4 linked regions of the Alligator mississippiensis genome follow. The protein of the gene in region 2 interacts with the protein of the main gene of each other region in a pairwise test. Links are inferred from orthologs where the notes say so. Each region holds a gene or a part of one and is shown on either strand. Other genes may lie near its edges.

The links.
Region 1: the proteins of CCDC33 (region 2) and FAM124A interact in a two-hybrid assay, tested with the Homo sapiens proteins (2 studies listed by BioGRID and IntAct). The two-hybrid records come from large-scale screens. The link is inferred for Alligator mississippiensis from reciprocal best matches to the Homo sapiens genes CCDC33 and FAM124A.
Region 3: the proteins of CCDC33 (region 2) and CCDC102B interact in a two-hybrid assay, tested with the Homo sapiens proteins (2 studies listed by BioGRID). The two-hybrid records come from large-scale screens. The link is inferred for Alligator mississippiensis from reciprocal best matches to the Homo sapiens genes CCDC33 and CCDC102B.
Region 4: the proteins of CCDC33 (region 2) and PPP2R3C interact in a two-hybrid assay, tested with the Homo sapiens proteins (2 studies listed by BioGRID and IntAct). The two-hybrid records come from large-scale screens. The link is inferred for Alligator mississippiensis from reciprocal best matches to the Homo sapiens genes CCDC33 and PPP2R3C.

The regions. Positions count from the first base shown.
Region 1 is NC_081824.1:415,959,005-415,966,512, reverse strand, and holds the start of FAM124A (protein FAM124A), read right to left. Parts: upstream 3,005-7,508; 5' UTR 2,821-3,004; coding exon 2,762-2,820; intron 1-2,761.
Region 2 is NC_081834.1:42,251,646-42,259,147, forward strand, and holds the start of CCDC33 (coiled-coil domain-containing protein 33), read right to left. Parts: upstream 3,020-7,502; 5' UTR 3,005-3,019; coding exon 2,695-3,004; intron 2,330-2,694; coding exon 1,842-2,329; intron 1-1,841.
Region 3 is NC_081826.1:103,260,319-103,267,335, forward strand, and holds the start of CCDC102B (coiled-coil domain-containing protein 102B), read left to right. Parts: upstream 1-3,995; 5' UTR 3,996-4,097; intron 4,098-7,017. UniProt on the Homo sapiens protein: During interphase, forms fibers at the proximal ends of centrioles to maintain centrosome cohesion. During mitosis, dissociates from the centrosome following phosphorylation to allow centrosome separation. Contributes to CROCC/rootletin filament formation.
Region 4 is NC_081825.1:256,630,318-256,637,858, forward strand, and holds the start of PPP2R3C (serine/threonine-protein phosphatase 2A regulatory subunit B'' subunit gamma), read right to left. Parts: upstream 3,012-7,541; 5' UTR 2,971-3,011; coding exon 2,922-2,970; exon of another isoform or gene 2,902-2,921; intron 2,726-2,901; exon of another isoform or gene 2,647-2,725; intron 1-2,646. Other genes in the region: PRORP (mitochondrial ribonuclease P catalytic subunit), read left to right, coding at 4,764-5,785. UniProt on the Homo sapiens protein: May regulate MCM3AP phosphorylation through phosphatase recruitment. May act as a negative regulator of ABCB1 expression and function through the dephosphorylation of ABCB1 by TFPI2/PPP2R3C complex.

The sequences.
Region 1 (7,508 bases), on a different chromosome or scaffold from region 2:
CTTACAGCCAGGTATTCAGAAAGTCCTTCTTGGGGACTCTTAGGTGTTGAGAGTGGAGATGCCACAGACTTCATCTCTACTTCAGTTTTTACAGGTGCACTTGCACCCCTTTCTCTCCCTTGGGTACCTTGACATTAGTATGCTTGTCACCTATAGCACCTTTGGCAGGACTCTCATGCATTCAGTCTTTTGTCTCTGCTTAGGTATTTCAGTCTCTCACCTTTTACAGGTTCTGCTTTATAATGGAAATGTAGTTCTCTGCTTTCTCTGGTCACACAAGCCCAAGTAGTCTGGGATCCTCTCCTGTCCCTAAGCTCCCTGTCTCCAGCACATAAAATGATGTGTGCACCAGGTCTTTGCCAACACCTCCCACCTCTCATCCTGGTCTTTCAGGGTTTGATCCTGTGCTCACAGGGCACATCTAGATGTGGATGGTTTGGTTCCCTGGGAACAAGTAGCAGCAGTATACCTTGAGCCGCTGCTACTTGTCCCTGGGGAACGCCGATGCCACACATGCTTTAGCACATGGCAAGTTACCGTCAGAGCGGTAGGGAAGGCTGAGACCAGCACTGGGCTGACCCCAACTACCTTACCTGGGGTCTTGGGAGCCTCCCAGGGCTGCAGCTGCAGCAATGCTGCTGGGCAGAGCCTGGCCAACAGCCACAGCACATTTCCAGGTGGCTTCCCTTTTCAGCAGCACATGCTTCCTCTTGTCTTGTTTCCCCACCACCCGGTGGTATTTTGACCTCTGCCTCTCCCATTTAGTAAAGTACTCACAGCTTCTCTGATCTTCTTACTGACATACTTGTAGAAACCCTTCTTGTTACCTTTCACAGCCCTTGTTAGCTGCAACTTGAATTGTGCTTTGGCCTTCCTGATCTCATCCTTGCACACAAGGAATACTCTTATACTCCTCCCTAGTTGTTTGTCCAAGTTTCCACTTATAAGCTTCCTTTTTGTGTTTTACCTTACTGAAGAGTTCCCTGATAAACCAAGCTGGTCTTCTGCTATACTTGCTAGTCTTCCTGCACATTGGGATGGTTCATTCCTGTGCCTTCATTAAGGTTCTTTAAAAGCACATCTAACTTTTCTGGACTCCTCTTCCCACCCAGGGGAGGCCTCCCAGGGGATCCTGCTCATGAGTTCCCCGAGAGCCATGATGACATAACTCTCAGACACTGCTGTCTCCATACAAGTTCAGTGTGACAGTGCCTCCCATTTAAAGAGTCAGCTTCCTTACTGACAGCAGCAGCATCTGAAATGCAGCTATAGGAACTCCCCTCTGCCCCCCTGGAGCAAGGCAAATGCTGGCCACAAGCAGTGGTAAAGACTAGAGGCAAGAGAGTTGGAGAAATTACAGCCTTGTGATTAAAGCACTGCTGTGATCCTCAAGAGCTTTGGGCTTTATTCCGACTCTACCACCAACGGACTACCTGTATGACCCTGAACAAGTCACTTATGAATACACCAGTAATTCTCAACCAGAGCGCTGGGGTTGCTGCACAATATTAGCACTGTTGGGTGTGCAAACATCTACACATGATAAACAGGATAAACCCAGAGATTTCCAATGGGAATCTAGTGTCAAAACCATTCTGACTTGTGGTCTTTCTGGGTTCTCTGCAACAGATGAATTGCTCTAGTATTTTTCCATAGCCAAGAAATGAGTGAAAGCTAAGAGCTGGCATGTCCTGAGGGGTGCTCTGAGACTAACGAGAGATGACCCAAGTCTAAAAAGGTGAGAACCACTGGTCTACACTGTGACAGCAGAGCACTGAGTCCTGGCACGGAAGAAGCAAGCCCCGCATGACCCTTCTGTGTACAGAAATGAGGTAGCGACCACACCTAAGAGCCCCCCCCCCCGCGACACACTCCAGATGTAGGCTATTGGAGAGCTCACGAGCTGAGGCCCAAAGGTGCCTCCACCTGCCTGGTTCGTTTCCAGGGATGACACGGAGGGGGCGAGTGGGGCTTATTTCCTTGGTGGCATCTCTGAGGACATGGCGGCACTACCCCCCCCCCCCCGCACTGCCTCTGGTGCTGAGCACCCGGCTCTAAAATGAGGATGACAACAAGAGGACCTCTCTGCACAGCTTGAGGGTGACCTCAGCTGTTCAGCTTGAGGGCGACCTCTGATCTGCCCCAACAGGCGCAGGCTCTGCTTCTCCACAGCGTCGACCAGGGGGATCAACAGGTGCGAGAGGAGCGGAGGAAGACTCTCCCACCCCGCTTCCCCTCCACACACACACACACACACACACACACACACACACACACACACACAGGGGCACCCACCCCCCACCCAGCCCCTGGGCAGGAGGCGGCAGCTGCAAGGGGGCCGCCACTTCGTCTGCAGCTGCTTCTGGCCGCCGGTGCCGCGCCCACCTGGCCCCGGCAGCCCCGACACCGCGGGCGCAAGGAGCCGGGGAGGCGAGCTGACAGGGATGGCGGGCGCGGGGGGGCGCCCGGCTCCCCTTGGGACCGGGTCAGGGCTGGCTGCTCTCCCGCGCCGCGGGCAGCCTTGTGCCGAGCTCGGACGAAGGTTGCACGGGATGGTTTGGACGGGCTCGGGCCCCACCGCCGCTGCTCTCTGCCCGGCTGGGAGGACCGCGCTGGGGGCAGGGAGATGCCGAGACCGAGCATCCCGCGGCGCCTCCGGCTGCTGGAGCCGGCGCGGGCGCCCCGGAGGCTCCGGCGAGGCAGAAAAGGGCAGCGAGAGGCAGCAGCAACAAGTGCACCCCGCCTCTCCCGCCGCACTCACCCGCCTGTCTCGGCCCCCGAGTCCACGCACTCATCGTCGCCGCCCGCCGCCTTCTCCATGGCGGGCGTCAGGGCTCCATGCCCGCCCGCCGGCCCCTGTGGGGCGGCCTCCAGTGCCCGCCGCCGCCGCGGCCGCTCCGCCCCGCAGCAGCTGGTCCCTGCCGCGCGCGCCTTCCCCCGCCTCCCTCGCACGAGTGTCAGGTTTTATTTAGACAAAGCCTGGGCTGGGCGAGCGAGCTGGAGGGCCCTGCCTGGAGCAGGGGGCTGGACGCGGGGAGCTCCTTTGCTGCGATCCCCCCGGCCCCAGCTCTCCCCTCCCTCACACGGGCAGCTGCACGGGGGAAGAAGACCCCTTCGCCTTCACCCTCGCCCTCTCTCCCTCCGGTAGCAAAGCTTCATCCCAGCCCGCTCCGGCTGGCTCCCATGGTGCCCTCTCTCCCAGCCGGTCGGAAGAGGCCACGCTTCCGCGAAGCCCGGGCAGGGGGATGCTGGAGGCTGCAAGTGCCAGAGGGACAGTGGGAGAAATACCTCTCCCGCTCCGCGCCTGTAGGACACGGGCCTATTTGTCACCTTTTAGTCCCTGTGGGACACAGGAGGCTGGGGCGGGATGCACCTATGGTCTGAGCCAGGACATGGCAATTTTGTTATCTTCTTAGGGATGAAACCCTGCCTGAAGTTTTATTGACTGGGGTTGTTTCCAAAGATGCCTGTGGGCTTAGCTACACTAAGCTGCTTGCCCTCGAAGCAGGGAAGAGAGAGTGGAGGAAGGGAAAGGAGAGGAATCCCCTCCTGCCGCCCTCTCTCCCCTGAGGAAAGCCCTGCAACTTGTGCAACCCATCTGTGGTGCAAGGGTGGGCCTCTTGACCTCACCCCAAGACTCATCAATAAGTCATAGTAGAGACCATCCTCAAATAGAGGGATTGCTGACAAGCAAGTTTTACCACTATGGCTATACTAGTACTGCTAAGATGACCACAGCCCATGTCCAGTGTAGATACTGTTATATAATGGCACCAAGGAGCTTATACCAACAGAGCTTATTCTGCTTTTATGGTTCAGGACATGTAGTAAGTTATGTGGGTATAAGGTCACAGGCAAAGGGCTGCCTCAATTTAGCTGCTCCATTGGGCTAATGTGGTTAAGACATGCTGGCTTTCTGTAGGTAGTGGAATCACAAGGGAGTGGTATCTCTCATGTCCTAGGTATAAGGCACCTTGGCACACCTATACCCATATCAATTATAGGGTTTATACTAGTACAGATATTTTAGTAAATATATACTCTCTAGGTAGACAGATATAGATACTTATATTTATATCTATCTATATCTATATCTAGATATATATATTACATCCTTATTTTACAACCGGGTGCTCAGCACCAGAGGTGTTACAGGGAAGGTGTAAAGATTCTCTCTCTCATCTTTATATCTATATAGAGATATAGATATATATAAAATATATAGTATCTATCTATCTATCTATCTATCTATCTATCTATCTATCTATCTATCTATCTATCTATCTATCTATCTATCTCCTTAAACAACATAGTTATACCAGTATAACTGATCTAACTATTGTAGAACTGGCCTATGTGATTTGGATGCTCAAAACCCATTGAAAGATAACAGAAGTTAGGAACTTTAAAACCCATCAGCACCTTCGAAAACCCCAGCCATTTTCATTTTCTGAGCCTCTCCCTAGTTGTTGATATAGATATGTGGTGCTTTGAAGAGAAGCTTTATCTTATCACCATATTTCACCTAGAGCTGGGCAGATAATAGTTTCCCCAGCCCACAAGGTTATTTGCGGTAATGAAAATTCCTGTTCTACACTGGGACAAAACAGATTTTTTTTAAATAAAGTTTTCTCCAAAAGTTCTAAGGCTGTAGAGAGATCTGCTTGAGAGCACCCAGTAGCCTAGTGGGTAGAACATCAATTTAGGATGTAAAAAGCATGATGGAAACAGATTCAAAGCCCTACCCTGAGTCAGGCACGCAGAGTTTAAATTCAGGTTTCCTACTGCTTGGGAAGTGCCCTGACCATCAGGGTAAATAGTTGGTATTCTGGGTATGGTTTAATTGGAGCAAGGACTTGAACCTACATCTTCTGTCTGCTAAATCCATTGGACAAGAAGATTAGTTTCCCTCTCCCACTCACTTCTTCCCTCCCACCATTCAAATATTCATACAAAATGAAACAACCCCAGAAGGAGTGATTAAGAAAGGTTTCACAGGGGGTCTGAGGGACCTGACCTCATATTCCTGCTCTAGAACACCATAAATATCTGAACCTTGCCAGCAGAGGAAGGAGAACTGGCTATCATATAGTGGCTCTCTTTTGGGTTTTGAGAAGAAATTCTATCCTGGGGCTATGGAACTTTCCCTAAAAAAGTTTTTCAAAAGTTTGAGGTCTGACAAGTTGGTATTTTCTGATGAAAAAATCTCAGCTAAATCTATTTATACAATCTCATTCTTCAGTGAGTACACACTTCCTGTTAGTGAAAACTTTGCTTGTAGAATGAACGCATACTCAAGATAACAATACCAAGTCTTTTGCATTCTTTATTACTATTTTACTGTGATCAAGGAAAGTGGTGATTGTTTCAGGAACATGAGACTTTTAAAACTAGATTATAGAAGAAACTAAAAAAATATATACTGTAACAGACAATTATGCATTGAAAATATGAGGCACATTATGCTGTAATGACCACATGCTCTTTCCATCTCTATTTTCTGTAATAGTGCAACCACTGATTCTGTTATTGGACCACAACCAATTCACCTGCATTAGTGGCAGCAGAGTTGTCAGTGTTAGTGTAGACAAAACACAGGCATACAGTAATACAAATAAGGAATACAAGATAAGTGTTAACATTGTGTCATCTAGACCTGTTCTAAGCAGGTATGGTCTAAACAGGTAAAATTCTGCACTGCCAAAGGAAATGGCAAATATCTCTTACATTCACAGTGTTAAGGGACAGACTGTCCACCCCCTTATCTAGGTAGGGTAATGTCACTGAAATCCATGGATTAGTTCCCATGTACAAAATTACATATGTGCATCCGTTTCTGAAGGATTGAAACCAGGGTGTAATGCAAGCCAGTATGAATCCTGGTAGTAGAACCTGCTCCTAAACCAGTTACTCCTCAAATCACCCCATGTAGTACTAGGTCGAACCAGAATCCTGGTGCTCAAGTCTTACTGTTTCTGAGCTTTGGTCTGCATGCACACATTGGTAGTTAAATCAGTGCAAATCTGTTTAAATTGATTTACTTTAAATCATTTTAACTTTGATTCCAAATAAAAAATGAGCTAAAATGATTTTAGGCTCTTTTAAGCTGATTTCAGATCACCCACAAAAAGGGAGTGGCACTATACCTTTTTAAATATTTAAAACAGATCTGATTAAATTTGTGCAATTTTTGCATGTAGATTATTAGCTGAGCAACAGATAGATCTTTTCTATGTCTAACTTCCATGATTTTAATTAGTTATGTTTAAGCACTGGCATTTCAAAGGATCTGGAATATATCTTATGCTGCATTTAAGATTAATTTGCTCCATCTGTCTCAGGGAGGGAAAAAAACCCCAAAAAACAAAACACATTTAAAGGAAATATATCATTAAGATAGTAAGTAAAGCTACCACAAACTCCAGGCTCTCTGTATTTATATGTTTGCCTCATTTAACTCAATTTTACTCTGGTCTTTCATATAATTATGCTGAAAGGAACACTTTTCTGCAAAAAATTCTGAGCATTTCAGATTCTAATGAGTGAGGTACTAAGGCATCTCTGTCACTTTGCTGTTTCTCATTTACCAGTTCTTCACATTAGTTCTTCATTGTGGTATGTTGAAAACATTCATTTTAATTTCTTCCTTACATTCTGGAGTCCAGGTTAGCACTCATGAAGATTGGAGTAATGTTCCCACCTATTTCTGGGAAAATTTCCTGATAGTCTGGCTTTTCTGTTGTGTAGCATCCAAGGAAAGTGCTCATAAAAACTATCAGAGAACAAGCATTGCTATCAGAGGCAATCGTCAACAAAGTCAGCAAATAAACTGTTCTTTTCTAGTAGTTTTACATTAAAGAAGCCCAGCTACTAAAACAGGAAATTTATGTCAGCTCTTTAGGCAAATCTTTTTTCACTAGTTGCTTACTGCCAGATCTTTAAAAGGATTTAGGTGCTTAAAAAGGTGTTTAGGTGTCATTTAGACACTTTAATCCAAACCTGCAATCCTGAAAACATTTGCTTAGTTGCCATCTGCCCTCAGCTCCACAGACACTTTACATTTTTACTTTAAAGTTCCCCAGGTGCCTGAGGTTGCATTTCTGCCCCATCCAGAACTTCCCCAGTCTCAATGGAGCTGAGCTGGTTGACATGTAGATCATGCCTAGGTCCAGTCAGGATCCAGAAACTAGGCATTCATCGAGTCCCCTAAAGGGCTTGTTCTAGGAGACATTCCTCAGGTTTGCCTAACACACACTGACAGGATCAGACTCTGTACAAAATGTATGTAACCTGAGCAGTACTCCAAGAGGTACCCCTCTTCAATTGAAGGGATCAAAGCAGGTGCACAAGTGCTGCGGGAGGTGTAGGGATTCTCCTCCTCCTATAGAGCAGAACCAGACCACCAATGGGGACTTAACCATATACCTTTTAATGAGAGAACAGTACTGGGAACGTAACCAGTATAAACCAGGAAGTATAGGGGACACTACAACGCCCCGAGGGGGCAG
Region 2 (7,502 bases):
TGGCCTGTCCTGTTTTTCTCCCTACTAGCCCACCATATCCTACGGCAGGCCTGTTACTATCCACCTCCATCCATGGACCAGGCAATATCTGGGGGAGAGTATCAGCTCTGATAACAATCCCCCACACAAACTCCTCCAGAGTCAGGGCTCTATCGAGTTTCAAGAGAGATGAAGCAGCTGAGACCTGGCCATTGGCCACAGTACTGACCCACTGGATTTTCTTGTAGAGTGATGACACTTTCACCATCCCAGCTGGGGCCCATGGTGCTCAGCTGAGTAAGAACTTGGCTTCTGTTAGGGCTGTCGCTCTAATGAAGGCACACCATACAGCAGCTATCCCTGGGGCAGCTCTTGTCATCTCAGACCCATAGGTCTTCCCAATGGGACCCCCAGGGTCCTGGGGGAGGGGATTCTTCATCTCACTTGGGATCGCCATCTCTCCATAGCCCAGGACCCCACTCCATAAGCAGAAGTGTAATCAGCTCCTTACCTGTAGGCACAGAAGCTGCCTTGTTCCCTCAGATCAGAGAGGACTCATTGCTCCAGCCTGATCTCTTCCAGGGCAGAGTTTAATTTTTAATATGGCTTTGAAGCAACCAGTTCCTCTACTCCTACCAAGCTACTGCTTCAAGCAACTTCCTCCCCATGTACCAAGAACCACTTCAAAGCCTAATCCCCTCCTACCCTGACTCTTTCAGAGCCCTATAGGAAACATCTAGCTACTTCCTAGCTGAGTGTGGTATTTATGCTCTGCTGGCCAACCCCAAGCCTCCTGGCCCTTAAAAAGGCAGGGCACCTTGTTACACAAGGTTTCATGGGCAATCTGTCCTAGCAGACTTCTAGCTTCTCTGGGGTTTTTCCACAGAAGACTCTACCTGACAATATCAGAAAGTAAATAAAGGGTTAGTTGGATAGATCATTGTATTAACACAAAGGCTGATGGAGAATGAGATCCGTCTGTTTGTTGCAAGAAAAGATGGTGTCCCAGAGAAATTATAAAGCGTATGGCCTCTCTACCTCAACCATGGAGGGTTTATCACTGTGCAAGGAAAGGGAAACAATGGGGACATAAAAGGAATCACCATCAGTCTTGAAGTAAATGGAAGGCCCTGGGAAATTGCCACAACTGGGGAGTGAGACTCTTGGCTTCAGAGTGGGGTTCAGGCACTGGACCAAGTGAGAGCAGGAAGACCATCCCATCTAAAGTGGGATGGGATGGACAGACCTATTCTGATCCACACCTTAAACAAAGCTAAAGAAGAACCATTTGAAACAGGTGAGATAAAGGACTTGCTTATTCTTGTCTAGGAGTGTTCAACCTGCAAGACCATCCCACCTTCTAACCTCACTTTGCCACTGTCTCACAAAGAAGCAGGGTCAAGTCCTAGGTTCTGCTGGACCACAGAAGGACTGAAAAATGTGGGGTCCTCAGGGATGTGCCAGGGTCAGAAATGAGTGATGCATTCTCTGGAGCAGGCTAGCAGGGGGTTTCAGCCCACAGCACATACAACCACACTGAAATGCAGCACCCCTGTGGCTTGAGATGTGGCAAACAAATGTCCTGGAGCATCACTGGTAGACAGGAAGAAGAATGATGGTCACAACCATAAGTTATATCAGTGACACATTCCCTTTTCTAGACAAACATCTGGAGAGGTAGCAGGCTGGGCAGATCCTGCCCAGTTTGAATTCAGGCATTTCAGTGCCTTATAGCTGGTGCTTAGACCACCTTTTCTCTTACTGCCCACCTTACCCACCTTTCTTAACCGTGGGAAGCATCTCATCCTTTCCCTGTGGAAGCAGCACACTCTTTCCATCCTGCACAGACATAGGTTTCTTACCTCTGGTGAGGAGGTGTGGAGGTCCACAGCTGGCAAATGTCTAGGAGAGTCTGTGGATGCTCCTGGAGTAACGTGTGAGTGACCTTGCAAGGGGGTTCCCAGTGACTTCAGGGGCATTGGGGATGATGGCCGTGGTGTTTCTGCCCCCTCTTCCTTTGTGGATGGCTGGGGTGAAAGGTGATGGGATGAACTATGTGTTTCCTTTGGTACGGGTGGGCGGTGCTCATGAAAGCACACACTGTAGGCCAACCTCCCACAGTGCATTGCCAGCTTGTCATTGCCCACCCGCAGCAGCGCCATGATATCGTCGTAACGGTACAGATCCTCATCCTTCTTGGCAAAGAGGTTGATCCGGGGCTGGTTGGTACGAGGATAGATGGCAAAGAAGGCTTCCCCTGCCCGGAGGCTGTTCTTCATGGAGGCACCACGGAGCTGCAGAGCTTCAATCCGGAGCCGCACATCGTGGTTCTTGTCATTTTTGCAGAATCCTGGCCCCCAAAACCCACACAAGCACATGTTACAACAAGCCAAATCCTGAGCTGATTGTACTGCTTGCCTCTCGAGAGTTGATCCTGCCTGCCCACATCTGGTCCAGCCGCACAGTCCCTTGGATTTCTCAAGTTCCCAACCTAATCCAACCCTCCCTATGCAAAACCTGATCCAGCCCAGCTTGCTCATGGGCAAATATAGCATTGGCAGAGAAGTACCTGGGTGTCAATGAAGACCCATCCTTCACAGTCAAGGAACCAGTGATGAATAGGGAAGCTCTGAGTTGGGGAGTTTAGACTTATGTGAGACTGTATGGACCTGTCCCTTCCTCTCCTCCCTTTCCCCCTCGCACGCAACCTCTCACCTTTGGGCAGAGTGAAGATAAATTTCCTCCTCTCAAAGGAACAGATCTCATTGGGGTTGCTCTGTTCAATGATGTCGGTGGTCCCCACGGTGGTGTACTGGGCGTCTCCCTCATTCACCCGCAGCTTCACCCCAGCCCCAGACCCCTCCAGCAGCAGGTTCTCCACAGTCAACCTCAGGGCATATCTTCCCGTTTTATTGAACTGCACATTCACCACCTCAAACTCAAAATCCAGGGTCTTCTCCTCGGCCTTCAGACGTGACCTCTGCAGGGTCATGGGGACGCGAGGTTCTGTGGCCTTGTTGGCCATCGGCACAGCCTTCTCCTGGGAAGGAGTGGGCAATAATAATAAGAGAACCACTAACAATAGCTCTGTTTAACTCCTCTACAAAATACCCAGAAAAATTTGCCCCACACTAGCACAAGCCCCTCTTTTTGCTGTGTCAAGCAGCCCTCTTGGCAGATGTCCAAGACCCTGTTCAGTCACAGGTCAAACCACCCATGACAGGACCAGCAGTGCCAGCCTTTCTAGTTAATGCCACAGATTTGGACTTTCTGAGCAGAGTCCTTGTTGCTGCAGGCTTCCCCCCAAACCCTGCCTTTCCTTTAAACAGCGTTTTTCCTTTGCAGCAGGGAAGTGCCTGGAGCTGCCTGTCAGTGGCATGTCAGCTTCACATCTCTTCAGTCAAAGGAGGTTTTCAAAAAAAAACCCCAGCCCTGAGGGGCTGCTTTGCACTTGCACACCTTTGGTGATTCTGGGAAAGTCAAGAAGCAGCCGGCTGCTAGAGCAGAGCACGCTGCATAGGAGAGAGAAAGAAAGAAAGAAAGAAAGAAAGAAAGAAAGAAAGAAAGAGGGAGAGAGCGTCCTGTCTTACCTGCTCCACAGGAGGGGCATGAGGAGGAGTGGGTGCTTTGAACTCGGTTTGTTTGTAGCGAAACCAGGTAACTAGATGCAAACCTGCAGCCTGGCTTCCAGCAAACAAAGCTGAAGGAGGAAGGTTGTGTTCGGGGAGATAACCAAGGCAATGCCAGCAAACACCACCCTTCTCTTCCCCACACAGACCATGCTATGAACTGGAGGAGGTCTCCATATGACAAAGGGGTAGGGCTGGGTTCAAGGCTGGGCCTGATCCTGCTTATGGGAATCCAGTGTGTCCAGGACTCTCAACATTGCAATAAATTCTTCTCACTGAACTTATTTTCTTAAATCTAGTTCTGGCTGGTTTGCCTGGGGACCGTTTGGGTTTGCCCCTATGCTGCCCACCCAGAGGTGGTGAATGCCACACTGGAGTGGGAAAGGAAAACCATGACCCCTGGTCCTGGTTTCCGAGAAGCTGGGGGAGCTGGGGCTGCTCGTGTCTGCAGCTTTCCACTTTGTGGCTTTCAAGGAACTTGCACAGAAAGCTGGTCCATTAACTTCATTTGCTCGTATGATCCAGGGTGTACTGGGCTGACTTGGGGTGGGTGGGCATGTGTGAGCTGCAGGGGTTCCTGGACGCTCCCCCCAACCCTTTGCTCCACACATAACCAACAACTGTGCTCACTTTCTCCCAAGCCTCAGTTTCCCCCTGTGCCTCACTTTCCCTGAAAGGCTGGGTTTTTGGTTGCAGCCGTGTTGGTTTAAGGATGCAGGCAGGCAAGGCACAGACAGGCAAGGTTCTTTGGGTAGATGTGGTATCTTTTATAAAATCACATCTACCCAAAGAACCTTACCTGCCTATATCCTTTTATTTTATAAAAGATATCACATCTGCCCAAAGAGCTTTGCCTGCCTTTCCCTGAAAGGGAAATTTAGGCTGATAGCCCCCCACTCCCACATCTATTGTCTCCATTACTACATAACAACCAGCTGTGTCCTGACTAGACACTCATTTGCAACCCTTCATCTTCCCCCCACCTCAATACCTAGAAGAAGGGTCCGGGTACCTCCCTCACATCTGGCCACCCTAAGTTGCCAGAAAACGTGGGCATCCACAGACAACTCAGCCTCCTGGGAACCCAGAAGGGGTTGTGTGTGTATGGGGGCACAAAGCAAAAAGAGGCCAGGTTATCAATGGACACTCCCCTTTTTACTCATACCCTTTCCTGGGGCCATATCAGAATTGGCAGGCATTGAGATAATAATGGCCATAACTTCAGCTGGTGTAAAAGGGTGTATGTACCCTGTGACCTCAAAGCAGCTTGACTAGTTTAGGAGCTATGCTGTTCTCAGTGGTGGCAGGTGACAGAACAAGGATCAGTGGTCTCAAGTTGCATCAAGGGAAGTTCAGGCTAGATATAAGGAAGAACTTTCTCACTAGGAGGGGAGTAAAGCACTGGAACAGGTTACCCAGAGAGGTTGTGGACTCTCCATCCTCATAGGTTTTTAAGACCCAGCTAGACAAAGCCTTGGCTGGGATGATCTAGTTGGGGACAGTCCTGCTTTGAGTAGGGGGTTGGACTAGATGTAACCTTCTGAGGTCCCTTCCAACCCTCATTTTCTATCATTTTATGACCTGCCTTTGAGGGTTCCTTGTACTATGTATCTGAAAGCTTTCCCTGGCACAGTGATCCCACCCTCATGTAAAATGTAATCCCCCATGCCTAACACTCTACCATGTTCCCATTTATGAACCAGTTGCACCTCAACTGTAGAGCTCTTAGATACTTAGGATTCCTGTTTCTTAGGAAATTATGACACTTAGTCAAACTGCTTCATTACAATACAATCAGGGGACACTTTGATCTAGAACAGGGGTGTCAAACATGACCAGCAGAGCTGTTCTGTACAGCCTGCCAGGCTACCTGCAGAATTTGGGGACAATGTCCTGTTGTAGGGTCCCCAAGCCGCACTGGGGCCTGGCTGTTTGTGACAATGGGGATGTGCTAGGTCTGTGCTGACACAATCCCACTTACCCTGCAGACACTTGGCCAGCTGCTGCCTCCTCCCTGCCATTACTGTCCCCAGACCTCTGCTGCCGCCTCCCCATTGCTGTCATTGCCGGACTCCCACCACCACTCCTGAACCTGCTGGGTTGCAGCCTCTAGCTCCACAGATATGGCCCAGGAAGAGCCCTATGGTCTGGATCTGGCGTAGGGATTGGGATGAATTTGACACCCCTGATTTAAAAAACAAAGGAAGGTATTCCAAACAGGATTAAGTAGTGGCTGTCCTTAATTGATTGTAAAGATGAGACAGAATGAGAGAACATTTTACCTCCTGTACGATGTCATACTGTTACATATTACCACTATCCATGTAAGTTATGTCACCACAAAAGTAATAGAAACAGGAAAAATAAATGAAACCTGGAATGCAAAGCTGAAATAAAAATAGGCCAGTTAAAAAAAAAATCCAGGGAAACTTTGGTTGAACTCAACATATTCTTGTGAAAAGTTTTGGTTTTCTCAACACTGCTTGAATGAATGGAAAACTGTTTCACTGAAAATTTTCCAGCTGGCTCAACTCTGCTGTGGATTTCTACTGACTCCACACAAAGTCAACTCTTTCTCAATCAAGTCTACTAGTGAAGACAATGGCAGTGCTTCCGATTCACACCAGTCTTACTGGAGTTTGGCCTGGTGTTAGCAGCGCGCAGCTGGTCTTAGCAAAACACATTGGCTCAGTTGGCTCCAGGTCATGTTTCACTGTAAATACCCCTAAGGCAGTCAGAATGCAGTATACCAATTATCAAGCAGGGCATGGGCTGTAATGGAGGGTATAAAAACCAAGGCAATGATCAGACTAGTGCCATTTTATATGCTCCCAGTGCCCTTCTCATTATTGCTATTCCTGACATTCTTACCCAGTTCAGCTTAAGCATTAATATATTTGTGAACTAATTAGCAGGGATGTAACTGGGCAGTGTTGTGTCCTGGGTGGTGGCATGGTAGCCTTTATTGATGGTAGCATGGTGGCCAGGAGACTAGTGGTGGGAGCTGCTATTTTTGGCTTCCCCCCAAACTGGCTCCCAGGGCTGGTGTCTGAGTCACCATCACTTAGTTACATTACTGCAATTTAATATCTAGATCAATCACTCATTATTAGCTAAGCATTGGCCAATCTTCTATTCATGCCTCAAGAAATACTGGTTTACTTCATCCAGATTATCATCACTTTAGTGCTGAAGAAAACACATACAGAGGCATGGGGCTGAACTTCATCTCACTTAAGACATGGACATATGTAAAGCTTAGACTGGTTAAACACAACTTAAAACATGAGCAGACAGATGTACAAGACAGTTTAGACCAGTTTAAACCTCTTGCAAAGGTTCAAAAGTGTACCTGAGAAATTGGATACCATTTTGAACTGGCGCTACATGAAGCAGTTCAGTGTTACAATGGACACCAAGCATTCCATGACTAGGATCGGGTTAGACCTCCAGATTCCCACAGTGCATTGCTCCTCATCCCCACCCCCACCCACTGTGGCAACTGGCCACTCTGGTATGTCACCAGAACTCTACTGCCCCTGGAATCAGGCAAAAGTCACTTGGCCAAGCCCAATACAGGTAAGGGCTGGACAAGGCCAGTCCCGCTCCTTACACAGAGGCAGGGCAAAGAGCCTCTCGGACCTGACTGAAGCTTGCATCCTGCAGGTCTGGCAAGTCTTTGGAGGCAGAGCTTCCACAGTAAATAAAGGAGCTGCATGCCCAGCATTCAGCAGATACATCGAGGGACAGCGAAGCGGCAGAGGGCTAAGAAAGGCTGGGGACAGCTGCCCAGCAGGCGGCATCTGTAGCCCAGAAGAGCCCCCAACAACTCCCTTGGCAGGATCCGGAGCGGCGAGCAGCTTTGGCTACAGCCCTAGCCCGTGCACAGCACGG
Region 3 (7,017 bases), on a different chromosome or scaffold from region 2:
GGGGGCATGTCAGAGCTGATTTGAATCAGTGCCTCGACACAGTGGAACTTTCTAGCACAAGGCACGGTAAGGCAGGGGAAGTCTTGGCATGGTGAAGAGTTCCGACGTGGATAGAGTTCCCGCCAAGGAAATGCAGATTTGCATAATGTGATTGGCTGATGTTAAATTATTCCCATGTGGCGGCTGGCAATTGGCTCGCTAGCCATATAAAAGGTTAGGGGCGTTTCCGCCCTAGTTGGAGAACTCTGCGATTCCCCCTGGAGTGGAACTCCGGCAGCTTGATCACCTGCCAACGACTCCCCGTCGGCGAAGCCTTGCGACGTACCCTCCGTGTTGCATGCCCGAGTTAGACCCGAGCTACCCTGTCTACAAGAGCTCCTTGATTACCGATTAGAGAATAGAATTGTTGCAACTACGATTGCCTGCGCTGTATACGACTCTACAGTGTAAGTAAAGCTACCTCTGTTTTCCAATTGATACATGTCTCGTTTGTGCCTAATTCTGCTCCGGTGATAGAGAGTACCCATCTTCCCGTCACGGGATCGCAGCCGCAACCCCAGCTAGCGTTCCCAAGGACTCCTGATCCTCGATTCCCCCTTGGCCCCCACAGCTACAAAATGTCTCGGCCGGGCTGAGCCGACTCGAGGTGATTTAAAAACTGCTCGTTCGTCAGGGCGGGCTGGTGAATGGAGAGGCTGACAAGGCTTAATGGTTGTAAAAAACTTTACTTACGTCGCGGGTGGCTGCGACGGAAACGGTTTGGTCGTCTGGACAACAATGTGAGTTGCTTCAGCTGGTGAGGCCAATGCCAGTAAATTCGTCCGTAATTCAAGCCGGTGGAAAAAGGGTACGTCTGGGACTGCGTTCGGCGACGGGAAGAAGGATCGATAGGTGATCAGTCTATCGATCAGCTAGCCGCAAGTCGGATCTCTTTCGAGGCACTCTGCAGCGTGCTCAAAGCTCTTTGACTTGGGCGGAAGTCGCGCTAGTTTTTAAACGGCCAGCAAGCCAATTACCGGCCGCCACGTGTGAATAATTTAGCACTAGCCAATTACGGGGCACAAATTTACATCCGAATGGCAGGAACTCTTTGCACCATGCATTTCTGTGCTGCAAAGAGAATGCATCCTGCAAAAACAGCTGCAAAGTGGCGGGAACTCTCTCCTGCACGCGGGCTCTCTATGCAGCAAAAACCCTCGCTGTGCAAGAGACTCTCGTGTGTCAAGAAAATTCCATAGTGCCGAGGCACCAAACTCACTGGGTTATGACACAAAAGACCAAAGGAAACGTGTTATGGTGAGTGCTGGAAACATGAACTATGTCATGGAAATAGCATGCAATATGTTTCAAGTAATGTGCATAACTGTGTGGGGGCTTGTCCCTAATACATTAGTGATTATGGAGTGCCTACAGTATAGTCTAGTACCTCTTTTTTTTGGATATTGCGGTTTTTAGGGTGCCATTCTGTATGTGGATTGTGGCATCAAGAAAATTTATTTTAGTGTAGGAATATTACAGAGAAAGTTTTATGGAGGGGGGATAGTTGGAAACCATATATAAAAAAAACCCCCATGGAGAACCATATTTATGTTCACAAGACCAGCAAAAGAAGCTATAAGCTACAGTCAAGCCCTCAGGTGCTACTGTATCTGCTCCGAGGAAAATAGTAGTGATTCCTACTTGGGCAGCCTAAAATCTGTCATTATGCAAGGACCCTACAGTACCAAAATAGACTGTACCTTTGAAAGAAATACTCTGCAGTAACCTGCTACAATACAAAAAGAAACCCCACTGTTGCCACCTACCACCACACACTAGAACTGATTAGAAGAATCAAGAAACAACCACAGCTTCTGCTCAACAAAGATGAGACATTAGGGAAAATATTCCATGCCCCTCCACTCCTGGCTTTCAGAGAACCCAGTTCTCGCCCAGTTCACTGTCAGAGGCAAACTCCTCACTGTTCAACAGGCATCAAGTGGGACACAGCCTTAGCAATAAATGCTTAAACTGTCAACACACATCTCCGCTTCTACTATAATCAACACACCCCTCCGCCACAACAAACAATTCAGAATTCATGGAGAGACATATTTTCCCAAAATTACATTTCTGATTCAATGTACCAGATGCCCTCATGGAAATTACATGGATGAAACTAATCAACAGCTATGCATTGGAGTCTAGGGACAGACATTACACACACACCGGTTTAAACGATCAGAAACTTGTTTAAATTTGTAACACAACAGATGTTCAGTGCACATAAACCAGTTTGAAAATGGCTGAATCCGGTTTGAGATAAACCTGGTTGAACGTAGTATCAGACTTAACTGATTTGGCTCAAACTGGTTTAGGCAATGTCTGTCCCAGACCAGAGTGAACCTTCACGGGAAGCAGTATAAAGGACACAGACACACACATGTTGATAAGGAGCACATGTTTTATAGAACAAGCACTTCCTTTTTGACCTCACTATTCTCCTGCTCAAGGGATATCTACCAAAAACCTTTAAAAGGTGAGCTTGGGAACAGAAATTCATAAGCTGGCTGGACACTAGGAACTGAGGACTGAACACCAATATTGATTTTATAACACACTATAATCTACCTGATTCCTGAAATTATTCCTACACACTACAGGTGATAATGACCCTTTTCCTCTTGAAAGGTCTTGATCTCCCATCAATTGATCTTCTTTTCTTCTGCTAATTCTTTGTCTGCTACCCCTGGGAATTTCTCTCCCTCTCTAATTTCATAGATCTACCCACTGTGCCTAACAATTTCTGTGCTTGCTTTCTTCTTCAGACCTGAAGAAAAATGCTTTGCATTTAAAGGCTTATCTAATTCCAAATAAAGGAGCTGGTCCAATAAAATATATCACATAAAAAAGTCCTTGCCTCTCACATAACTCCTGGACCATTACAGTTACCACATGTCTCTAGCACTACCATGTCTTATTACATGACATACAAGAATGGATCCTAAATCTGTGGTTAGGGAGTTTTAGGCTAGGGGTTTTAGGCTTTATAACAAAGTTATTGAATTATGGCACAACCTAGGCCCTGAAATCATGGGATTTTTCAGGGTGCATGTGTGGAGTTTTCTTTTTAAATTAAAAACTTCAAATATTAAGTTTCTCAAGAGACTCATGACCTGTTACATCACATACATGTCTGACTTTATGCCCCTAAGAGTTCCAACTCCACCAGTGCTTAGAGGTTCCAGAAATTTGGCAACAGGGGAGCAGCAATTAATGCTGCCACTGCTCCTCTGCCACCAAATTCTTGGACCCATGGGGAGATTCATGGGCTGCATGACATGACCTCATGAGCCAGGTCTGGCCAATGGCCTGGAGGTTGATTACTACTGATGTAGTATATCACAAGTCTTTGTTGTTTTGCAGCCTTAATAAGTAGTTTGTTTGTCACAGGAAAACCCAAGGTGTGCTAGTACTATACAGCAGTGGTTCTCAACCTTTTTTTGTATCAGGACCCATTTGTAAACATTAATGGCCAGTCCCAACCCAGTGCCCCTCACACCCCAGCCCCCCACTGTGTGGGGCAGGTGGTGGATATGTGGGGCATGGGGGTTCACAAACACTGCTATACAAAAATGTAAGAGGGATTTTTTCCATCCCCAAGGTTATTCTTTTTTAAATCTGAAAGACACCAAAATAAATAAGTGGCCTTGTTTCATTTGAAGATGCTAATTCTGAAATGAATCATTGAAGTCAATGGTACACTTAGATTAGAATATTCTGAAATCTTTGAACAAATTGGGGTCATAATTTATAACCGACAATGAAAGAAGGGTTAGAAACACAAAGAGAAGCAATGTTTAGTAAACAATAATAAGCACAGTTTTAATTTTGAGTGAATGACCTGTATTTAAAAAAAATGTTGTGGCATTAGTTTTGATAAATCCTGACCAATGGGAATTGTTTTTCAAGTTACTGTGGAATGGCCTTAATGCTGCGAATAATCCTGTTGGCCAAGACCCCAGTGCTCTGCAGATGAGAAAAGGATGCAGGAAATTCTGTTGTTTACACATATGTCTGTAACACTGAGAAGCGAGAGCAGCCCAGCAAGCCTGAGGGTAAGGGGATTTAATATGCTTGCGAGTTTATGATTTAATTTTTTAATGTTCCTGTTGGGATAGAAGTTGTTGTCATACCCAGGGTGAAGCTGTAGAACAGCAGATGTGCATACCACCTGAAAAGATAATATGTCTGAAAAGAAATGTAATTTTTGAGTACACAACTAGTTTGAACTTTCCTTTCCTTTCCTTTCCAATTTGCCTCCGCTCGGTAAAGTTTATCCAGATATGTAAACTATACTTTGACTACTTAGATATAGTGTTTGCTTATCTAGACTAATCAGGGAAGATTTTAAAATCTTCAGAATATGTTAAGTGCTTTAGATTTTTATAAGTGATGATAACTTCTGAAAAATGAGTGTAAATATGTATTATTTGAAAGCTTCTACTGTCTTGGTGTGTATACGTGTATGTATAAAAGAATCAAAACTTGCTTTATTTTCTATTGCAATAGGAAGAGGTGGTGATGTTTTGGTCATTTTCCACAACCTCATACTGTACTGTACAGAACTTTGTCTCTGGAGTATAGTATTGTTTGAGTTTTGCTGCCGTGCTCATAAATTTCTGTTATTGTTAGCAGGAAGTTTTGTGGTCAGAAAGAATTTCTAATTTCAACAATGTAGATAGTGATAGTTATCTTAATTTCCTTCTGAAAAATACTTGAGTGCAGGCATGATTATGGACTAAGGGAAAAAACAGTGTTAGTCTTTTGCTTAGTTTTATTGCACAAGTGTAATGTAATAGGCTGGCACTACAGAAAGATATATAATTTGTCCACTCTTTGAAGGGGTGGATTCCCAGATGGAATGTGAATATGTGGAATATGTAGACCTATCCCTAGCCAGAGCTCCAAATTCACCAAATGATGTAGAACAGTCTAATAAACACATAGCAAATAGTTATAACAGAGTTTTTGTTCTTTTTTTAAAAATAGTAATGACCTGTCTTTCCATTCTCACTAATTTCATTACAGTTCCCCACATCATCAGTGTTTCTATAAATCAGCCTTGTTCTGTTAAGCATGTCAGAATATTGTTTATTTTGCATCTTCATAGATTTCTGCTGCAATTATTTGCCAGTGCACTGAAGATGCAAAACATTATATAAAAGCTAAGTATTATTAATTGGGCCAATTCTGTCTCATGCACTCAAACATTCCATTGAATTCTGTAGGAGTTTAGGCATGACATTTCAGTCCTTGAACCTAATCTTGCTTGCTTTTTTTGCATTTGTTAAATTCAGCCTGATATTTCCCTTAAAAATATAAAAAAGTTATGCTCTTAATTTCAGATTTGTAAAAGAAATGATTTATCAACATACATGGGCCCTAATCCAGCTGCTAGTACAATCAAAGCATTGCTATTGATTTTTGTAAATCAGAATAAATTAAAAGACTCAAAGGCTCCATCTTGTTTATCCTAATCTGCTAGTTGAATAATCAGATTAGTAAATTGATTAGTCATTATTGTTAAGACCTGCATGTATTCTTCAGCATTTCACATAACACAGCAAGAAACCTGCCCTACTTTTGTTGCACACAGAGGTCACAGTGAGACTGTTGCCACACAGAAGTTTCAGAGGTGGTTGTAAAGCACTGCTGGCCAATAGCAAGTTTTTAATGGCAGCTGCTCTCCACAAAAAATATTCTAGTACAATCTTGTTTCATGGTTCCTATATTTTCTGTTTTTCTTTGAGTTGTCCAGTAGAACTACTGCAACAAGCATGTATCCTCTTCCATTTAAATATTGCATTTTATACTTGCCCCTTTTCCTGAATAAAATGGTTATTGATCACTAGAAATAAATGAAAAACAGCTGGCAGGTTAGTACAATTTAATAATAGTGACAGAAGGACTTGACAAAAAAAAGTCTGTTATAAATCATTGGATCCTTTCATATCTCTTTATAAACAGGCTGTCCTGTAATTTGTAGACTTCATTTTGTGAATATGTTGAATTTGGTTTCATTTATTTTAACCGACTAGATTAAAAACAAAAACAAACAAAACAAACTTGAATTTTCCCAGCACCAGAAGAGGGAGCTATATGCTAAAAGATTCATATTGGGAGGGGGGGGGGGGGGAACAGGCAGTTATGTACCTCTGCTAGCTGTATGGTTAGAGAGAGCTGTGGTTTGAGTTTTTATTTTTTGTTTTCACTTTTTTTCTCTCAGCTCTGATTAACAGCAGAGCTGTGACACCTTTCTGACTGACACTGCCATGATTACTTCTATATAAAATGGTCCACAGAGTGGACTAAACAACATGACTTACCTAACCATAAATCTGCATATGCCTGGTTTAAGTTAAACCTGCTGGGTATATATCCATTCTGTAGAGGAAAATTTCTATGATGGTAGCAGAGATGTATTTTACTATCTTTACTTGAAACTATATATGTTATGGAAAAGTGGTTAAAAAGAACAGAAGAATCTGGGCAGGTCCTTCAAAATTTAAACATGCAGACACGTGCACACTTTTTCAAGAAGGATCCATAGAAATGGATACATAGAAATTTAAGGTTTTATCTTCTGATGTCATTATTTCTTTAAGTTTTAAGCCTCATTCTTCCTTCATTATCTTGGCCTCTGGTTCATGTCCTTTGCTTTTACTTGCTTCCTTCCCTAGCCCAGCAATTTCTGTTTCACTGAATACTTTAAATAGCAATACCAATATAACACTGCCACTATAAATTTATAAGGGTTTAATTGATCCCTTGACCTAACTGCATATCCTGTAATAGGAAATCCTTACTGCTCTTAGGTTTTTCCATATTGTTCTAAGCCAGGGGTTGCAAACATTATTTGGTTGTGGAAAGACCCAGCTCTTGGTAAAGCTGGACCAGTGCTAGTACCCAGATGCTCCTACTACCACTTCCCTCTACGACCAAGCTGAGACATGCCATGGGTGAAGTGCACGGCTG
Region 4 (7,541 bases), on a different chromosome or scaffold from region 2:
CCAGGATCCCTGATTATGACTGGCATAGCTAGGGAGCAGTAAGATCTCCCACTGAACTTTCAAATTAGGCTCCTTAAAGAATTGTATTACCCCTGGCTGTGGCAAAACAGGTGCCTAGTTTCCACTGTAGGTGACTCAGAGTCTGAGATTATAGTCCAATTTCCCTATGGATGCTCATTTTTGAGGGTTTCCAAAACTACTATGACACCCTGGAAGAAAGATCATGGTAGTTTTTCCAGTATGAAAGTCAAGGGTTTTTTGCTCTTTGTGGCAAAAAATACTAAAGGAGACAAGGGCAGATCCCACATTTGCATTTAGCGCAACTCTTTGCACATAATTTAAGTGAGGAGTCTAACTAAACTTGCTATAAACATATACAGAATATTAACTAATTTACAAGGGTGTAGGTTGTAGCCATATTGATCTAATGAATTAGTTAGGCAAGGTTATTTGGATAAATCCAACATCTTTTATTAGACCAACTAAATAGTTGGAAAAGATTTTCTTAGCAAACTTTTGGGTTTAAAAACCCTTCGTCAGGCTGAGGAACCATCTACAGTTAGTGTGTGCTCTTCCTGGATGGAATGAATAGTAAAGAAGCCAGAGGCTGGTGTGCACGCAAGAAAGGTGGCCAGTGAAAATGTAAAATGAGGAGTCAGTGGGTGAGAGAGAGGCTGGGGGAATGAATGTAGCAGGTAAATAGCAGAGAGGTACCTAGAGAGTCAGATGCCAGGCAGGCTGTAGTGTGTCATAAATCCAATGTCTATATTTAGTCCATGATTATTTTGTATCCAGGAGGCTGATGAAGTGCAGTTCATAGGCTTGTCTGTGAAAAGTGTTTTGTAAATTCCCTTTGAAGATTAGAACTGAGAGCTTGGAGAGAGAGTAGTTTTCTTGTGAGAAATGTATCTCCACAGGTAATTGGGTATTATTGTCATTGATAGATTTCCAGTGTGCATTCAGTCTGGTGTGCAGTAGTTGTTTGGTCTCTCCTACATATCTTCCATCATGGCATTTGGTGCATCAGATGAAATATATTACGTTTCTGGAGGTGCAGCTGTAAAATCCAGGAATGCTGATTTTTTCCTGTTGTGGGGTGTAGTAACTGTGAAGGTGGTGGAGATGTGTTGGCAGGTTTTGCATTTCTTGTTATAGCATGGTCTGTATCCATTCGGTGTGTTTTAGGCGGTAGGAACTTTGCTTCTGGAGATGAGGTTAGCGAGGTTTGGTGCTTGTTTAAAGGCTAGGATGGGTGGTTCTGAGAAGATCCCTTTAAGAACTGGATCTCCTTCTAGTATGGGTTGCAGCTGTTTGAAGATTTTCCATATAGGTTCGAGGGAGGAGTGATATGTCATAACCAGTGGCCTGTAATTCATGGGGGTTTTCCTTCTATACTGCAGCAATTCTTCATGTGGTATCCAGGTGGCTCTTTCTAACACGTGATCTCTCTCTCTGGAGTGTTCTTGCTGAGTGAAAGCCTTTTCGAGATTTGTGAGGTGGCAATCCTGGGTGTTCTCCTCAGTGCAAATTTGGTGGTATCTGAGGGTTTGGCTGTATATCACAGCTTTCTTGGTGTGTTTAAGGTGATTGCCAGTTCTGTGCAGATATGTATGTTGGTCTGTGGGTTTCTTGTACAACGTGGTCTTTATTTTACTATTCTGGATACTGATAGTTGTGTCTAAAAAGGACATGTTGGTGCTGAAGTACTCAAGAGATAGTTGGATGGAGGGGTGATGACTGTTGAATTTCTGATGGAACTCAATCAGAGATTGCAGGTTTTCAGTCCAAATGATGAAGGTATCAGTATAATTTAAGCATAGCAAGGGTTTGATGGTACAGTCCCTGAGGAATTCTTCTTCCAGATTCTCTCACAAGAAAACCACTCTCTCTCTCTCCAATCTCTCAGGTTTAATCCTTAAAGGGAATTTACAAAACACTTTTCATAGATGAGCCTATGAGCTTCACTTCATCAACCTCCTGGATACAAAAAATCATGGACTAAATATAGACATTGGATTTATGACACATTATAACCTGCCTGACATCTGACTTCCCAGATACCTCTCCACTATTTACCAGCTTCAATCATTCCCCATTCCCCCTTGCCCCCCCAGCCCATCTCTCACCCACTGACTCCTCATTTACATCTTCACTGACTGCCTATCTTCCATCCAGGAAGAGCACACACCAACTGCAGATATTTCCTCAGCCTAAGGGTTTTTAAACCCAAAAACCTGCTAAGAAAAAAAATTCCAGCTATTTAGTCTACTAAAAGATATCAGATTTACCCAAAGAACCTTGTCTAACCAACTTAAAACAGTTTTACATCTAGTGCTGCTAGAAATAGGGATTATCTAACAGGTAGAGCTTGGTTTTATACATACTTGACTTATAATCAAAGAACATCTCTTGTTCCTGAAACCAGACCCTTAAGGGAAATTACAATCCTAAAATTATTCCCCACCGTGAAGGCTCAGTGTGGGTTTATGGGCACTCGTTCCATTTCCAAAGAAAATCATCAGAAAAACTGCATGGGGTTAGATTTTGTGAGCAAGTTAATATAACTAAAAACAAAGTGTGAAGCTCTCATCTGGAAGAAAAGGCACAGGACTAGTCATATAGGAGGATTTAACAACAACTACGCACTATTTTTGTATCCCGTTACAAATTCACGAGCTCTTTGCCCATGCGCACAGAGCCGAGAGGGCGCTGGGACCCGGCTCAACGACCCCCAGAGCCCCCCAGCCAGACCCCGCCTATGCGGGAGCCGCACGCGCGCCCCGCTCAGCCGCTGCTTTTTGCTCTTTCCTCCAGGTCCTCAGCAAGGGGGCAGGCGCACTACGCATGCGCGCACGGGGCCTGCCGGCAGGACCTGCTACGCTACTGCCACCCCGCGCCGACCTTCTCACGCCTCCACTCACTGCCGGGACGGGCCGCAATCCGGCCCTTCAGCGCCTGTCTCCACTCCATGCCCCGAATCCGCCTCCCGCTCTAGCCACCGCGCATCCGGGCTACTGTGCCCACATGATGTGGCCCGCTACCACCGCCATCTTAGGGGCTGCCATGCCTCCCTGCGTCACGTGCCCAGCACGACCCTAACTCTTGCCCACAATCAAGATGGAGTCCAAAGGCCACTAAGGTGATTCTAAGACGCCCTCCTTTCATAGGATCCCGGCGGTCACGTGCACAATACCCTCTTCCGTGAAGGAGTTCGGCGGGAGCTCCGATTGGCTGAGAGGCTCTAGCTTGAAAAGTCTGCTGGGTACAGACCGCTCGGCCGGCTCTAGCGCTTCGGTGGGAGTTTAGCAGTGGTGATAGGTTGGTGCTTGCCACGCATGGGCTCGGGTCGGTCAGTGGGCAGTTTTCAGCGAGTGCGCAATCGGCGCAAACTCCAGCTCCAGCTCGCTTTGCGCTACGATGGGGTGCACATGTTCCGCCGCCGCCTCACGTTGCATGCCGAGCACTAGCTTTTCCGGAGGTGGGGTGAGGCCGCCGAGACCTGCCTTGGCTGCGGATCCACGTGGGTGGCGGAGGGGCCAGGGATCGGCTCCCGGCCTCTGCCCTGCACCGAGCGGGCGGCGTCGACACGCACAGCTTGGATGGTAGTTACCTCGAGTTAGCGCCCTGGCTCCCTCGGTGGTCTCGGGGTTCATTCGGGCTCTTCACAGGTACTGAGCGCAGGCCCATGGGCTTGGGGCCCAGGATCCCAGCACAGCAGGCTTGTCTTGGGGCAGGACCCGGCCTGTTTTTAGCCCAAGCAGGTGCTGGCGAATGTGAACGACCCCGGGTAGTCTGAGGTGTTTGATGCAGTGATGACCCCATGTCCCTCAGCAGGTTGATCGCCTTGTTTGTCCTCCTTGGCATATTGAGCTGCAGGTGCCGCCTTTCTCAGCACTACCCCCCCACCCCCAGTGTTTGTGTTTAAATTCCCTTCTATCTGGAACCGCTGCTTTCTGGAAGTCCCTTTGTAGCATCTGAAGAAGCAGGATGTGCCTAGAAAAGCTTACGCTTCTCTGAAGCAGTTAGTCTTTAAGATGCCCCCCTGCCCTGCCTTCTACAGAAAAGTGTGCCTTCCTGAGGTGCCCCTTACTACAAACTGGCCGGCAAAGCAGGTGATGGCTGCTACCAGAAAGCATCCCCTGCTTAATGGGGAGCCTAGGCACAAGTTTTTCCTTGTTCCTGTTCAGAGTAGACAGTTCCCACTTACTCAAACTTTATGGACTTGGGGTAGAAACTTTGTGTTATTGGCAGCATCTCGGCAGTCTCTAGGCACGAAAAGTTGGGATCTCGACCTGAAGTGGTTCAGTTTTTGTTGTTAAAATGTAAACTGAATTGAATTGCTGGATGTTACCTTTGACAGTGGTGCTAACGTTGTCCTTTGTGGTCTGCTTTTTATTTTTAGGGACTCATTTCCTTATTTGGAGGGAAGCAGCAGAAGAGCTCTGTTTTTGGAAGCTGTATTGTATTCCCCAGTTCCACATGCATGTATGACAAACCTTAAAGAGCATTAATGGTAGGACAGCCACAATAAACAGCGATTTGCAGGCCTTTTTCTCTGGAAGAAAGACATCCTATTTTTTTTATTAATATTTTGCTCATTTTAAATGTTTCTCCATTTTGGCATCTTTTGTTTTCAGGAAACTTTTAAGATTATGTGCCCTTTTGTTTAGACAGCCCTTAGATTTGAATTATACATTTATTTGTGCAAACTGCACTTACTGTGAGATCTTTCCTGGAAATCTTCCCCAGCATATTGATTTCTTATGGCTTTCTTCCTTCAAGCGAGTAACTGGGGTTTGCAGACTTTCCTGGGTAGATGTTTCCTGTTCCAGCCTGCTTCCACTTGTCAAAAATCACTGGCTCTCATGGTTCACCTCCGCAGTAGGGATCAAGTTAAAGGTTTGCCTTTTACTACATCTTCCCAATCTGCAGTACCTCAGGATCTCAGAGGAGTTCATATGCTGCACAAGTCCAGATCTGGAAGCAGAGATGGAGAAAAAGAAAAAAGGAAGGAGAGCTCCAGGGAAGAGGACAAGAAGAAAAGTCTTATGTCCCCGTTCTCTGCTGGAGCTGCCAAACACCGATCAGTGAGGCAGCGGACACCTACATCTATGAGACTGCCTAGGTTGTCTAAAAAAGATGATATCCAGCCTCCAGAAAAACCTTTGAATGCTGAGGAGTGGCAGGAATGGAGGACACGATTAAAGCATCTTACAAATTTTGAAACTGTAATGTTACGTCGAATGATCAAGTATGAAAGCTCCATAGATGTGGCCAAGTCCTTGATGGCTGATGTGGTATTGAGAAATGGGGAGGTCAAGTATAATTTATTGCTTGGGTACCTGATTCTATGTGTCCAGCAGAAGCAGGTGGCAGAAATTTTTGATATCTATGATATAATTAAACTCAGATTTAAGACTTTAGACCCTGGGTGTTACAGTCTTCTAATCAGGGGTCTGAGTGATACAGAGCGTTGGAGAGAGGCCATTTTGCTACTGAAGGAGATTAGAAAAGTTACACCCCCCTCTAAAGGGAACTATGGATATTGTATCAAAGGGGCTCTCAATAATCAAGACGTAAAACTGGCATTAGAATTGTATCATGAAATGGTGGCCGAAAATGTGATGCCACACATGGATGTGCTGCAGGCCTTTTTTGATACCTGCAAGGGTACACAAGATGATAAATTAAAAAAAGAACTCTTAGACATGCTTCTGTATTTTAGAGAGAACCAACTCTATCCTAATGAAGCTGTTATGCAGAGTATAAAGCTGTGGTTTGAAAGGTAAGTAATGTAATTTCAGAAGTAATTGACTAGAGTTGGTGAAGGAATGGGTGACATTTCCTGTTATCCTTTTATCTTGCAGAAACTCTAAATAACCCTGCCAGCCTCAGGATGAAAGCAGCTGTGTGTAGGTGGGGTGGTGCTGGCTCAACATTATGATGTGATGGTGCAGTATTTAAGGGGCCCAGTACTAGCAGTTCAGTGTCTTTCATGAAGAAAGACATCCTCACTTCAGAGAAGGTCTTAAAGGATTGTGTGCTAATGGGAATTTTGTTCCCATTTGATGTATCACCACCTACCTCGCCACAGAAGATAAGGGAAGAAACTAGATTATGGGTGTGATGGTGGTAGAAAGCAATTTAGTAGATGCCTAGATACTGTAGTAATTTGTAGTATAAATTATTAGATTAACCTCATTTCTCTTGCTGCATGTTTCTTCTCTTGTTATTTTCTCAGACCCAGATCCTACATCAGCAGTGTTCTAGGAAAGCTTGGCCCATGGGCCAGATATGATCTGCACAGCCATGTCATCTGGTGGCCTGCAGGGCTCCCCACTGGTCTGGAAATTTGGCAGTGGGGGAGTGGTGGCAATTAACACTGTCACTGCTCCTGACCCCGCACTACTAAATTTCCAAGCAGCCATAGGCCAGATGCCATAATCCTGCACCATCTGGCACAGGGCCCAGTTTTGTGGATTCAGGGACCAATCTGGCACATGGAGCTGGGACGTAATCTGGCTAGGTTGGCCATCTACACTGTGTTGGGCCTTGGCTGGGCTAGTCCCATGCTCTGGATTGGGCCTGCAGATTGGATCTGGTCTGTGGACTGACCCTGTGCCACTCATCTATCCCACAGGATAAGGTTGGGCATCGTTGTTTTGCATCAAACCAAAAGGAATTTGGCTCTTTATTTCATAGGTGTAGAACAAAGCTCTCACCCATTTCTGTATCTAGTGCCAATCCAATTTCATTATATTTTGCTTTCTTCTCCCTCTTTCTTTACCTCCACATCTGATGTTGACCTCACAACTATTGAACTTTGGTAGTGCCAGTTACAAGGACTTCAGTATTCCCAATTTCTTAAGTACCTTGCTGAAGTCAGCAGCTTCAAAATTGCTAGTGTACATGCTTCCTGGTCAAGCCAAACTTTAATATAGAGGTGGCTTAACTGTCAAGAGCACTGTGTATATTGTTCAGTACTGATTCTTTGAACAACAGTAGTTGGAATATCACATCACAAGGTGTGACTTATGAAATATTCTCTATAGCAGGGGTGCTCAACCCCTGGCCTGTGCTGGGGATGTAAATATTGTTTAAAAATTATCTGTTTATTATCCTCTAATTATACCGGTTAAACAGTTAACCGATAATACATACCTAGTCCTGGCCTGAGGGTGCAGAGCCCCGGGCCAGAATCTACCCTGCCCTGCTAGGGACTACACACAGACCACTTGAGCACAACTGCTGCTGGGATCTGCTCCCCAGTATCTTTGACAGGGGCAGGAGGAAGTGGCAGCAAGCTTCCCCTCCCCCCCAAAAGCACAGCCCATGTGCAGTAGGAGCAGGTTAAGCGCTTTCCCAGCTGATTTAAACTTTTAAGTAACATGTTATCTCTCTCCAGCCAGCTTCCTGGCACCTGTGAAGGAGCAGCTAATTGCTTAATTGACCAGTCATTAAACAACCTGCTATTTGTATCTCTAGCCCTATGGCTATGGGTACTAGTCCCTCCTTGCTCCTCCCTCCTGCCTGCCCTGACA